Macaca fascicularis: one gene and its partners. Each later gene encodes a partner of the first gene's protein in a complex. Links are inferred from orthologs where the notes say so. Each region holds a gene or a part of one and is shown on either strand. Other genes may lie near its edges. The genes, in order: BMPR2, INHBB and BMP10.

Region 1 (3,979 bases):
GCATATCTTTCTGGGATAGTCTGAGTCATATCAGTAAAAGTCCTTGAGCCTAAGGTATAAGGTAGAATATGATGTTCAAATAAAGGATCAAAGATTCAGAATTGCTCTCCAATTATCATGGGTTCTTTGCTGTCATTGTCATTCCTTGGGAATGTCCGTTATTTATAAGGGAGATGACAGGAGGAAAAGAAGAAAAAGTTGTTATACAGTACAAGAAAAGACATGGAGGGTAAGATTCAGTAAAATAAAACTTAGAGTAACTATGGGATGAATGATAATTTTGGGGAAATTATTAGTAGAGACTGGAGATGAGAAGATGCATGCAGAAGGTTGAGCCGAATGACACAGGAGGCAAAAAATGGCCAAATCAAGGTGGGCCATCAAGGGTTTTTTTTCTTACCATTCAAGAAAAGTTTGAAAGCATTCAAAATAAAAGCTTTAGCTGACTTTTGAGAGAGGTATAAACATCATACTAGAGGACATGGGAAATACAGAGATGAGGGGAGATGAAAGCAGAAGACAGTCCTCAGGTATGTGTAAAGTGAAAAAATTTATAATTAGAATAGCCAGTGTCTAACTTTCTTGATTTGCTGATATATAAGGTGTAAGAGTTTATAACCGAAACTAATTTAACCTATATAAAAGTAGTGCAAACCAAATTTTTGACCTATGGCTAATATAAATGGCTTTCACAAATTAGAACAACAGAAAATAGGCTGGGCGCGGTGGCTCACACCTATCGCCTATAATCTCCAGTACTTTGGGAGGCCAAGGCAGGTGGATCACCAGAGGTCGGGAGTTTGAGACCAGCCTGGCTAACGTGGTGAAACCCTGTCTCTAATAAATATACAAAATTAGCTGGGGATGGTGGCTCATGCCTGTAATCTCAGCTACTCGGGAGGCTGAGGCAGGAGAATCGCTTGAACCCAGGAGGCAGAGGTTGCAGTGAGCCAGGATCATGCCACTGCACTCCAGCCTGGGGGACAGAGTAAGACTCAGTTTCCAAAAAACAAACAAACAACAACAACAAAACAAACAAACAAACAAAAAAAACCCCAAAAAACCACACAGGAAAAAAAAAAAAGTTTCAAGAATCGAGTTTATTTTTATTTCAATCTTCTCCAATAACCCTTTCCTGGATGCCTTTCTGAAAGTTTTAAACATGTATTAGACAAAATGACAGAGTCATACAAAGGCTTTTTTACCCCAAATATGGAACAAAGAAATACAGACGTAGAAAGTTCCAAATTGTAGGAATTTTTAAAAAGCCTTTTTATTTAGAACCAAAAATCATAGTTCTAGCAAAGAAAAAGTCTTGTAAAGTAGTATTAATGATGGACTAGAAAGACCTTTGAATTGCTTTCATGTAAAAGTAGTAGTAGTATACTCTATAAGAAAGAGCATTAGATAGGAAGTCTAGAAACCTTAGTGTCAGTGAAACAGTGGTTAGATAGGCAAGTTCATAGTTCCATTTACTTAAAAAAAAAGCAGAGGAAGAAGGAATAGTAACAACAAAGGATAAATGAGACAATTTACACAGAAGTGCTTATGAACTTTTGGAGTTATGGAAACATTTTACCTTTATTATTGCAGGAAAGTTGGACCATAAATAGAGAAAGACTAACTTCTTTCACTATACCTTTACATATAAAAAAAATGCAGATTTCATCTCGCACTCGTACCAAACAAAAATGTTCAATAGAAGAATAGGAATATTGAAAGAAAAATGATAACTTTGGACTGTATGAGATAATCATTGAACCATTAGGCTGGTTTAAAGGTATTTATTTTCTGTTATTTATTGGGTCTCAGTTTCTAATACTGATTGACAGGTGCCACACCCCTTAGGGTCTTACCGTTCATTCTGCATAGCAGTAGTCATTGGATTGACTGTTGGGCTCACAGATTTGTTTCTTTCCCAAATCATCATAAGTTCAGCCATCCTTTCCTCAGCACACTGTGCAGTAAGCCGAGCCTCTGCATCCTGGTCCCAACAGTCTTCGATTGTCTCCTTGAGTGACCTCACTGCCTGTAAGACAAAGTACATGTCAAACCGTCTATCTTTAAAAAAAATATATACTGAACTTTTCAGTTCACAACATGAGGTAAAAGAAAAATCAATTACCTTAACCAGTATATTTTACATAGCTAAAATAACGTATTTTAGGCTTCAAGGATTTATAAAGGAACATTCTCAAAAGGTGATGAACAAGTAAACAAGCAGGATTTACCTCAACTCCCTGAAGAATTATTCATTAAGGTAAAAGCAACAATAAGTCGCAGATGTTTCTTCAAGGCCACAGGTTTAGGTCATTGTTGTTAATTCACAGTTATATTATGTCAATCAACAGTCACTAACTCTGCTTCAAAAATAAGTTTTGAGTTTGATGGAATTTGGGGGCATGTGGCTATCTTCTATCTCTAGGTGAGCTTTTCTCCTTTACCCCCAGTTAAGAGTGCTTGGTTGGGCGCAGTGGCTTACGCCTATAATCCCAGCACTTTGGTGGCTGAGGCAGGAAGATTACCTGAGGTTAGGAGTTCGAGACCAGTTTGGCCAATATGGTGAAACCCCATCTCTACTAAAAATATAAAAAAATTGGCCAGGTGTGGTGGTTCACACCTGTAATCCCAGCATTTTGGGAGGCCAAGTCGGGTGGATCACGAGGTCAGGAGTTTGAGATCAGCCTGGCCAATATAGTGAAACCTCGTCTCTACTAAAAGTACAAAACTTAACTGGGTATGGTGGCACGCGCCTGTAGTCCCAGCTATCAGGAGGCTGAGGCAGAAGAATCACTTGAACCATGGAGGGAGTGGGCCGAGATCAAGTCACTGCACTCCAGCCTGCGTGACAGGGTGAGACTCTGTCTCAAAAAAAAAAAAAAAAAAAAAAAAAAGCCAGCATGGTGGTTTGCGTCTGTACTCCCAGCTACTTGGGAGGCTGAGGCAGGAGAATTGCTTGAACCTGGGAGGCAGAGGTTGCAATGAGCCAAGACCGTGCCACTGCACGCCTGTCTGAGTGACAGAGTGAGACTCTGCCTTAAAAGAAGAAAAAAAAAAGTGCCTCATTCCAACCTTAAAACTTATAGACATCTCTTCTTTAAACTAGTTCCAAAACAGTAGTATCAAAAAACAATCCCATTCTGTAGTATTCCTATTCATTAGCAATGAACAATAGTCTCCCTACAATAGTCTCCCTTTTGGGGAAAGCTAGTCTTTTTTTTTTTTTTGAGATGGTGTCTTGCAATGTCGCCTAGGCTGGAGTACAGTGGCACGATCTCTGCTCACTGCAACTTCCGCCTCCCGGGTTCAAGCGATTCTCCTCCCTCAGCCTCCTTAGTAGCTGAGATTACAGGTGCCTGCCACCACACCTGGTTGTTTTTTGTTTGTTTTTTGTTTTTTTGTTTTTTTTTTTATCTTTTAGTAGAGACGGGGTTTCACTGTGTTAGCCAGGCTGGTCTTGAACTCCTGACCTCGTGATCCACCTGCCTTGGCCTCCCAAAGTGCTGTGATTACAGGTGTGAGCCACCGCGCCTGGCCAGGGGAAAGCTAGTTTTAACTCCCTTTTAAAAAATAGGCTAGGTTTGTTTTTAAATATCCACATGATTCAACCATTCTACTCTTAGGTATTCACCTAAGTAAATGAAACCATATGTTTATACAAAGACTTGTATATATCTATATCTGCTACTTGGGATGCTGAGACAGGAAAATCGCTTGAATCCAGGAGGCGGAGGTTGGAGTGAACTGAGATCATGCTACTGCACTCCAGCCTGGGTGACAGAGCAAGGCTCTGTCTCAAAAAAAAAAAAAAAAAAAAAAAAAGCTGATATGCCCTACAAGAAATGTTAAAGGGAGTCCTCAAAGGACATTAGACAATAAGTGGAACCCAAAAGCCTACTTAGGTAACTATAAAAGCCACTATTATTATATTTTTGGTTTCTAACTCCTTTTTAAAAACAAAAACAAAAAAAAAGGGGTC
Region 2 (4,681 bases), about 87 Mb from region 1:
CCACCTGTCACCATGGCCCTGCTCCTGGAAGTACACTTTGACCCGCACCTTCCGCCGGCTGCCCTTCTCCAGGACGTAGGGCAGGAGTTTCAGGTAAAGCCATAAGCTGGCCTGGACCACAAACAGGTTCTGGTTGCCTTCATTGGAGATGAAGAAGTATAGGCGGACCCGGGAGGAGGCGAGGCCATCTGCGGAAAAGGGGAAGAGCGAGCCAAGTTAATTCAAGGGGAACACGAGGCAATGGGGGAAACGCACTCTCTGCTGCAGGATGCTGGAATGCAACTCGCCACACAGCTGGAAAACGTTATTGACCAGAAATACCGTTCTTGGGGCCAGGGCCTCTGACTGTAACCTGGGAGCGGCAGAGAAAATCATTTCCCATTGAGAAACCCGGACCAGGTTAGGGCTGGAGGGTCCGGGCCTATCAAATCCTGCCTCACCTCTCCCAGGCCAGGGCTCCCTGGAGACAGGCTGTCAGGCCTCAAAGCACAACAGAAGAACTTGTCAGGGGGCCAAGATCTTAACAAGTTGTTATGGGTATCTGTGAAATCTGAAAAACAAAACCAGGATCGCAGGGAGGATTTTGGGGTGGGTGGTTTTAGTAGGGCTTTTTCTTTTTTTCTTTTTTTTTTTTGGTTAACTTAGTGCATTGCAAAATCAAGCTGAGCCACCTACTGCCTCTTTCCAGTGTTTACCTAAGTATGATCTGATCCAACCCCCAGTGGAACCTCCACTGCAAACAAGCAGGCTCTGCTCAGGTTTCTGACATAGGAACGCGTGCTTTGCAGGCTGCAGAGCCTAGCCCTTATTTCCGAGTAGTTTCAAGGGACAGGACATTCAGCCTTAAAACTTGAGGTCCAATCCTTTGACAAGACTCTGGCTCCCCGTTAATGGCACGTTCAAAATCTCCAAGGAGTAGGGGAACTAGCTTGTTAATTTTCTCAATAATTCAGCTCAACAAGAAGGAGGCTGTGCCAATCAAGAGATGACTCCCCTCTCATCCTACATTTCAGTGACCCTTCCCTCTGACAATCTACGTTTTCCTTTCCTTTTTTTTTTTTTTTTTTTTTTTTTTCCAGGAAGAACAAATAACGAAACTCTGTGGTCAGGGCTGGTTTTATCAAACCTCCTACCATGCCCCTCCCAAGCCCCTACACCTCAGGCCTCGCCTGGCTCCTCTAATAACACTGACATCTGACTTTGAAATGGGGGAAACTGCAGCCTTAAAAGCTGGTCTTGGACGAGCTGCCTGTGACCTGAATCTGTTATTTATAAGTCAAAGAGCTGGCTCCGTGAAACGGACCAGAAATATAACAGCCCCCGCTGTCATTTTGTGCCACCGGGACCAAAAGGCCTCCTCGACCTTCCAGAATCACATTTCTAACTCTGGGCCCCAAAGCACCTTTTAATCCGAGCCCTCTAATTGCATGGCGAGCTTTCCCTGACTCACTTTAGTGGACAGCTAAAACGGCAATGCATTTCTTTCTAAGCACAAACCAGCCCCGATTGTCTCTGCTTTTCTCCACACCCGGCCATGCAAAACTTTTCATCCCTTTTCATCCCCAGGCTGCCTGCTGCCTGGGGGGGGTGGGGGGCATTTACAGCCAGGGGCACAACCGCTCCCCCCACCCAGGCTCCCCGCTTGCCCCCGCCCTGACTGCACCGGGGCTTCCCCCTCTGCGACCTTCTCCGCAGTCCCCTCGGCACAAATGGGGCCGAGCTCCAGGCACAAAAGCCAGCCTGGCTCATTCAAGTCCTGAAAAGGACAGCGGAGTCGAAAGCACTTGCAGCATTTTGGCGCGGGCACATTTTTCTTCTTCTTTTAAAGTTCCGAAAGATTTTTCTCTCCCTGATTTTTATATTTAGACAGTGTTAGAGATTTGCAATCTGGGGCCGAGTGGGGGGGTGCGGATTCCAGAAAGGAGCCATACCCTTTGTTAACTACGACTCTGCGCCTCTCGGGCGAGGGGTCTGCTGCAGCTGCCAGGCAAGCCGAAAGGCACGGGGCTGTCCCCGAGCCGCGGCTTTCTCTGTGTAAATGATGGACCTGTTGAGAAGCCTGCCTTCCGCCCGATTCCAGTGCCCACACAATCGGAAGAGAGGTTGCCTAGCTCTCCCCAGCGAGGCTTCAGCAATCCTGGCAAGCCCACGCCGCCGGTGATGGAAGCGGCCCCAGGGGCCTCTCACGCAGGCACACACACACACACACAGACACACACACAGACACACACATACTCTCTCTCTCCTCCGGCCCACGTATATCAACAAGCACACACATCTCCATCCACACTGCTGAGCCTACACTCCGATCGTGGGAAACAAAAACATTAAGCAATCACCAACCAAGTGCCCGCAGAGCCAGGGCCGCGCGCATCTGCCGGGAGGGGGACGCGCGCCCAGAGGCGCTGGGGCCCGATTCCGGAGAGCAGGGGTGGAGGGCCAGGCGCTCGGCGGCGGGGGGTTGAGGCACCAGGAAGGGGGTCTGCGGCCTGGGGGAAGAGGACTGCAACCCGGGCGGAGCGCGCAGGGCCACGGCCGAAGGAGCCCTCCCGGGAGTCCGGGCTGCCCCCAGGGCGCGCGGGCTGCGGCGGCGGCGGCGGCGGCAGCAGCAGCCGGAGCTGGCAAGGAGAGGGAAAGCGGGAGCGAGCGGGGACCGCGGCAGACAGCCGGAGGACCGGACCCACCTGTCTCGGCGAAGCTGATGATTTCGGAAACGCGCTCCTGGCCGTCGGCGCCCGGGCTGGCGTGGCCGTCGAGGTGCGGGATCTCCACGCGGCCGTCCTCGCGCACCTTGCCCGCGTGCAGTTTGCGCAGGGCCGTGACCATGGCGGCCTTGGGCACGGCGTGCGTGATGTTGGGCCGGCCCCGCATCTGCAGGCGGCTCAAGATGTGCCGCTTCACCGCCTCCAGGAAGTCGCCGTCCACTCGGCCGAGCTCCTCCGGCCGCCGGAAGCCGCCGCACGACGTACAGGTGTCCTGCGAGCCACCCGGAGCTCCGGGTGGCGGGGGTGGCGGCGGCGCGGCAGGCGACGGCGGGGGCGTGGGTGAGCCCCAGGCCTCAGGCCCCAGCCAGCCGGCCGCCAGCAGCAGAAGGCAGGCGGCCCCCAGCGCCCGACCGGGCAGCCCGTCCATGGTGCGCCGCTGGCGACGAGGGCGCCCGCCGCGAGGCGAGCCGAGCCGAGCGCAGGGCCGGGCTCCGGGCTCCGGGCGCGCCGCCCCGCCCCGCCCCCGCCCGGGCCTCCGCCCGCCCGCCTGCCGGGAGGGCCGCCGCCGGCTCACAGGGGGAGGGGGCCGGCCGGGCCGCGGGGGTTCCCGCGCGGCGGGGAAGGGGCGCCGAGGGCCCCGGGGGCCCGAGGGGCGCGCCGGACGGGGCGGAGGTCGCGGGTCACTGCTGCACGGGCGTCTCGGGGCGCCTCGGCATCTGCAGCCTTCTCCCCATCCTCTCCGCGTCGGGGGCCCCGCAGCCCCGGCTCGGGTGAAGCGAAAGCAGCGGCAGTGGGAGCGGCGGTTCGGCCGGCGGCCGGGGAAGGTGGCGAAAGAGCAGGTCCACGCAACTTGGCCGAGACGGAAGCGAAGGCGCTGGAGCCCCCCGGAGCGGAGCCGGGCGCGGCTTGGCGCGGCGCTGCGGCGGGCGCTGCGGCGGGGCCCCGCGCTCGCACCTGAGCGCCTCGCCCTCACTGCCTCGCGCCGGGAAGGGCCGCCGGCGGCGGAGACGGGCAGGTCGTCCTCGCCGCGGGCCGGCGGGCAGTGGCGCGGAGCAAGCGCGGTGCCCGGGAGAGCCGGCCGCGCGGGCCCGCTCACAGGCGGCGCCGAGCCCTCGGCCGCGGGCCCTGCAGTCCTCCCGGCGCGTCACACGGCAAAGTTGTCTCCAGGCTCCCTGGGCGCCGCATCCACGGGCGGGCGGGCGGCCGCAGCGCGCTTCGCCGTGGCCTCTGCTCCGCCCGCCTCCTCGCAGCCTCCCTCCTTCCTTCCCTCCGCCTGCCTGCGCGGCCCGGCCGGGCGCGGGGCTCCGGGCGAGGAAGGCGAGGAGGAGGCAGGGCCCTTCTCGCCCCTGTCTCTTCTGCCTGCCGCGGCGGCCGCGAGGTCGGCTCGAGCGCCGAAAAGTCTCGCAGCGTCCCCGGGTGCGGTGCCCTCGCTCGCGCTCGCACTGGCACCCGCCGCAGGGCCGGGAGAGAGCGGGCGGGCGGCGGCGGCGTCCCCGCGCCGAGCCGCGGTACGGAGTGCGGAGCTCGCCGAGGAGGAGTTCTTCTCTTTGCCCTCTCTTCCTTTACTCTCCCCGTTTTTTCTCCCAAGGGGGAAAAAAGCCGCACAATCTCCGTATGTGCGCGCGCGTTGAGATAGACGTTGGCAGAAAAAAGGGGGGGAGGGAGGGTGTCGTCCTGCCCGTGCGAGAGGAGACGGTCCGTGCCTCCCCGCTCGGGCTTCCCGGGGTGGGGGGAGGAGGGGAAGGCGGAATCTGTTCAGGTTGGGGCTGCTCGCTCCCCGCGCTCACCCCCGCTTCCCACCGCTTTTTTCCTTTCTGCCTTCGCGAGAAGGAGGGGCGACCCGGCCCTCTCCCCTCCCCTCCCCTCCCCTCCCCTCCCACCCCCCGCAATGCCCGGCTACTTTTGCTACCTCGAAACTTTCCCACCACGTGGGCGCCCCGGACCCTTGCCCAGTTAGGCGGCCAGCGGCACCGACG
Region 3 (4,680 bases), on another chromosome or scaffold:
AGCCCTTTCACCTCACCTCCACCTATCCAGCTCTGACATCTCCTGTAAAAGGCTCCCTTACTTCTTTATCTGAAAGTTCCCTCCCCTCCCCTCTGAAATCACTTGAGCACTTTACATCTCCTTTGATCTTTGTCATTTACATCCTTATATTTCAGCCATCTTTTTATGAATGAATTTTCCCAACTAGATTGCCATCCTCCTGGTTTGAATGGCTCAAAACTCCCTTGTATGTCTCTGTCCTACTATGATGGCTTAAACAGAGGTAGTGTTTTAAAAATATTGATTAGTTGATGATTCTAGGCATCAGACTAAATTGATTTATGTGCGTGACATATGACCTTAATCCATCATCAAGCTCTTGGGTTGGGCTTGGGAATTATTCTCCCACTCTTAGAAGGGAGGAGACTTGACTCCCCATGGACAGGGAACATGGAGGAGTAGGCTGGCTGCTCTACCCAGGAGAAAAGTATAAAATAAGAGCTCACTGTAGTGGGAAGAAGGCATTACAAAGCATACAAGGAAGCTTTTGATGTTAATGGATATATTCATGATCTTCATTGTGGTGATGGTTTCAATGAATGTTACCTATGTCAAAACCTTTCAAATTATACACTTTAAATATGTGCAATTATACTTTTATACACCAATATTTTTATAAGTCAAATATACCTCAAGAAGACTGTTTTGAAAAAGTAAGTTCGCTGTGAAGTTCTGTGCATGTGCAAATGCAGTAAGCAATAGACTGAAGAGTTACATTTCAGGGCAAGAGAACTAATGTTTGTTGACAAATTTCTCTTGCCAGATGCTTTGCAACCATGATCTTCTCTGGTTCTCACAATGACCCCATAATGCAGGTATTGATTCTCTGCTCATTTTGCACCAGAAGAAATCAAGCCTCGATGCAGAGAACTGACTTCCCCTGACAAGGTGATAAAGGAGCAGTGCTAGGAATTGAGGGCATGCTTTTTTCACTTTGGAGGTGGCACTTTTTTTCCTAAGATGATGTAGGTTTGGAGTTTTTTTTTGGTCTTTGTCTCCTAGGGAGCTGCACTAAGCAGATCCAAAGAGTAAGAAGAGAGGCAATAGTAGCCAACAGTGTGTGCCCTGTGCGATTTCTGTCCTCAGGCTGCACATTTCCTGCAGACGGGCCGAGGTGCTGGCGGCTGGGTTGTTTACTGAGAGATGTGTGTTCCTGCCCTCAATAATCTCCAGTAATAATAAGCACAGTAAACTCCACATCCTGACCTGGATCATCCAGATACTCTATGAGAGAAGTGAGAACGGAAAATGTTTCTACTTTTCCGGGGGATGCAAACAACATTTTCTCACCGGCACCCGGAGCCAGACACTTAGGGCTCGGTGCTGAGAAGTATTAGGGAGGGTTCTTACAGGAGGAGGTTGTTCATTTTCAATTCAGACTCCCCACCAAAAGGAATCTGTAATCTCATCTTGCCATTTCCATGAGAAAGATGTTATGAAATAGAAATTTTGTCAGCCAACTCAATTTTAAAGGCAGATAATATCTTAGAGACTAAGGAATACCTACTCAACATTTATTCCAGCACCTAGAATATTAAGTAACTCATTAGTAATCACTGAAGTTGGATCAGCACTTCATAGTAAATGGAGTGCTTTCTTATCTGTAACCTCTTTTGAGTCACTCAACTATGTTACTAGGTATTATTACCCCCACTTTACAGATGAGGAAATTGAGGCTCTGAGTCATCAGCTAATTATTTACAACCACTAAGCCAACCAGCCCTTAAAATTCCAAGCCCTGAGCTATTTCTTCACTATTACCTTTCTTCTTTTGAGAACATCTGGCCAACATTGATGGGAAGCTTCTTTTATACCTGTTTAGTGACTATAAAAACATAATTGGCAAATATTAAATTAGTTCATTTGGACTATCAGCTTCTACCATGGATATTTAGATATCAGAGTTTTTTTTCCTACCAGGACCATATTAAGCAAAAAATAAAAAATAGAAAATAAATAACTTGCTAGCTCATTAGATTTAGTTACCAAATTTAAAGACTGAAGAGAAGAAAACACACTTTTCCCACCAGTAATTCAAAGCTTGTACGTTGCTCTTTATAAAGACGGAAATGATGAGCTGGATGATTAATGGGCCATCCACACTTCCTGGAAACTGTAAACAGTGCTTTAAGGATGTACATGACACATCAAACAACATAGCCTTAGGAAGAATCTTTAAAATATATTTCCATCCTGTTTGAATATTTCTTAAATAAGGTCACAAAATAAAAACTTATCAAAAGTTTCAACAAAACACAAATCACAACTCGATGTTTTTTGACTGATTTTATCCTTGGTATTCTAAGTAGAAGTTGAGAAATTTTTTAGTTAATTAAAAGCCCAAATGGCAATCAAGGCCTATTTGGAAAATGACAAAGATACGGCAGTAGACCAACATTAATTCTTTGTGTTGACTGGTGTTCAAATTAACATTTTTTAACAGGACCCAATGATGATGTCAAATTGATAGATATTTTGTGGCTTTGGATTAAAAGATGTTTGTAAGTATTTATTGAGGTTCTGAAATGACTATATAAACGGTATAGAGCAAAATGTGCCTTGTTTTAGTGTTATCTGTATGTATTTAACATCCTTATATAGATGTATTTAGCCTTACCTATATCATTCCCATGCATTGTAAATTTACTTATCGTGTCTTGAAAAAAATCCAAGCCAAATTTCATCAGCAAAAACTTACCTTCATTCTTGAAACTCCGAATGATGTTGGCAGAGGGCATGGAGGTCCGATCTGTTGCAAATTTGTTGTAGAGTTCCAACATGTACTCTGGTGGGTCCACCTTGGCTGAATCCTGCGTGGGGATGTCAGAGAGGTTTAGTGTCTTGAGAAACTCATCCTTCATGCTCTGGAGCAGTGTGTTAAAGTCGACACCATCTTGCTCTGAGAAAACATCATCAAAAAGGGGCATATCTTCTTCCAGAGGAGACTGCTCTAGGCTCATGATGGGGCTCCCAGAAACCGAGTGAGCTGCCAGGCAGAAAAGAGCGCACAGTGTCAGGCCCAGAGAGCCCATGACTCCGCTCGAGCCCCTAGGCCAAGCCAGGAAGGTTTAGCTCTCCTGGGCTCTAAGTGGCAGTTTTATCTTGTGGAGCGTAAATGTCTCCTGTCACTGGAGACAAGTTTGGAAACTCTTCCTCTCTCTCTCCCTCCCCCTACCACTCTTCCTCTCCCCCTAAAAGTCAGGTTGCAGTAATTGGATAACAAAATCCCCTATAGGGGCCTAGCCTTTCTTATCTCCCTAGTGTAAACTTGTGCACCAGAATTTGTTTCTATCTTGCAATCCTTATTTCTTTTAATGAGCATTTTGTAAACATTTCCACATTCTGACACTGGTCGAGAGATAGGACAATTTTCTCTTTGCAAAGGCTCTGCTTCTCTTCCCTTCAATTCACTTCCTTTCAGCAGGAATGCCTCAATTCTGTTTTTATGGGGCTTAGTTTCACACATGCATATAATAGGTATAAGAATCAACATAATGCACATCAGTGGTGATACATAGTAATTTGAGTGGTAGGGCTTACATCCTCAGATAAACACTTCTGAAGACAGACCAAATATCCAAACTTTCCAAGTTTAAGTTAATGGCTATAAATGGATTATATAAGTTTTTAGAAGTATACCTTTTTAGAAACAGGAAAGTATAAACTTCATGATTGATAGCCTTTTTTCCTACCTATTTGATCTGGCTAAAATGGCATGTGAAAAAGAGGCAAGTGCTTAGTTATAGCGGCAACTAAAATTGATTAGATGCTTCCTACAAACAGGCATTGTACTGAGTGCTTTACATCTATCATCAGGTGTGCTCCCGTAATAACCCTATCATTATCTCTATCACATATATGGGTCAGTGAAGTTATGTAGCTTGCCAGAGGCCACAAACCTGCAAAGTGATGGAGTTACAATTTGAACCAAGGCAGTCTGATTCTTATGAAGAATAAAACCGTCACACTTTTAAACACAATTCCACCATACTAGGGCATGGGCAATAATGCTGAGAGGCCAGCACATCCCCAGATCATCCTGGAGGCAGGAGGCAGGCAGAAATTTGCAGTTGGATATGGACCTCAGGTCCTCCACCTGTGCAATGAATTGTTAATATGACCGGCATCTCTGCCAAATTCATCCTTCTGACTCAATCAAATTGTCATCAAGAGGTTCCAGCAAAAGCTTGGTGTGATGGTTAATACTGAGTGTCAACTTGATTGGATTGCAGGATGCAAAGTATTGATCCTGGGTGTGTCTGTGAGGGTGTTGCCAAACGAGATTAACATTTGAGTCAGTGGGCTGGGAAAGGCAAACCCACCCTTAATCTAGGTAGGCACCATCTAATCAGCCGCCAGCATGGCTAGAATATAAAGCAGGCAGAAAAACGTGAAAAGACTAGACTGGCCTAGAGTCGCAGCCTATACCTTTCTCCCATGCTGGATGCTTCCCGCCCTTGAACATGGGACTCCAAGTTCTTCCGTCTGGGGACCTGGACTGGCTCTCCTTGCTCCTCAGCTTGCAGACGGCCTATTGTGGGACCTTGTGATGGCGTGAGTTAATACTTAATAAACTCATATACATATATATCCATTCCCTATTAGTTCTGTCCCTCTAGAGAACCCTGACTAATATACTTG

What was found.
Region 2: the proteins of BMPR2 (region 1) and INHBB are in contact, whole or in part, in a crystal structure (PDB 7U5O), measured with the Homo sapiens proteins. The link is inferred for Macaca fascicularis from reciprocal best matches to the Homo sapiens genes BMPR2 and INHBB. Residues at the interface, in NP_001195.2 of Homo sapiens: Tyr40, Tyr67, Leu69, Val80, Lys81, Trp85, Ser86, His87, Ile88, Gly89, Asp90, Gln92, Ile108, Gln109, Tyr113, Phe115; in NP_002184.2 of Homo sapiens: Phe309, Asn318, Asp319, Ile322, Ala323, Pro324, Gly326, Tyr327, Tyr328, Thr379, Met380, Ser381, Met382, Leu383, Phe385, Asp386, Asn390, Ile391, Val392, Lys393, Asp395, Ile400.
Region 3: the proteins of BMPR2 (region 1) and BMP10 are in contact, whole or in part, in a crystal structure (PDB 7PPA), measured with the Homo sapiens proteins. The link is inferred for Macaca fascicularis from reciprocal best matches to the Homo sapiens genes BMPR2 and BMP10. Residues at the interface, in NP_001195.2 of Homo sapiens: Asp38, Ser64, Tyr67, Leu69, Lys81, Cys84, Trp85, Ser86, Ile88, Gly89, Asp90, Pro91, Gln92, Glu93, Thr103, Thr104, Pro105, Pro106, Ile108, Tyr113, Phe115; in NP_055297.1 of Homo sapiens: Tyr329, Lys333, Asp338, Ser339, Trp340, Ile342, Ala343, Pro344, Pro345, Gly346, Tyr347, Glu348, Glu395, Pro396, Ile397, Ser398, Ile399, Leu400, Leu402, Val407, Tyr409, Phe411, Ala417.

What each region holds. Positions count from the first base shown.
Region 1 is NC_088386.1:98,427,555-98,431,533, reverse strand, and holds part of BMPR2 (bone morphogenetic protein receptor type-2), read right to left. Parts: intron 2,030-3,979; coding exon 1,857-2,029; intron 1-1,856. UniProt on the Homo sapiens protein: On ligand binding, forms a receptor complex consisting of two type II and two type I transmembrane serine/threonine kinases.
Region 2 is NC_088386.1:11,399,352-11,404,032, forward strand, and holds the start of INHBB (inhibin beta B chain), read right to left. Parts: upstream 3,170-4,681; 5' UTR 3,133-3,169; coding exon 2,685-3,132; intron 189-2,684; coding exon 1-188. UniProt on the Homo sapiens protein: Inhibins and activins inhibit and activate, respectively, the secretion of follitropin by the pituitary gland.
Region 3 is NC_088387.1:53,085,467-53,090,146, reverse strand, and holds the start of BMP10 (bone morphogenetic protein 10), read right to left. Parts: upstream 3,110-4,680; 5' UTR 3,072-3,109; coding exon 2,738-3,071; intron 1-2,737. UniProt on the Homo sapiens protein: Required for maintaining the proliferative activity of embryonic cardiomyocytes by preventing premature activation of the negative cell cycle regulator CDKN1C/p57KIP and maintaining the required expression levels of cardiogenic factors such as MEF2C and NKX2-5.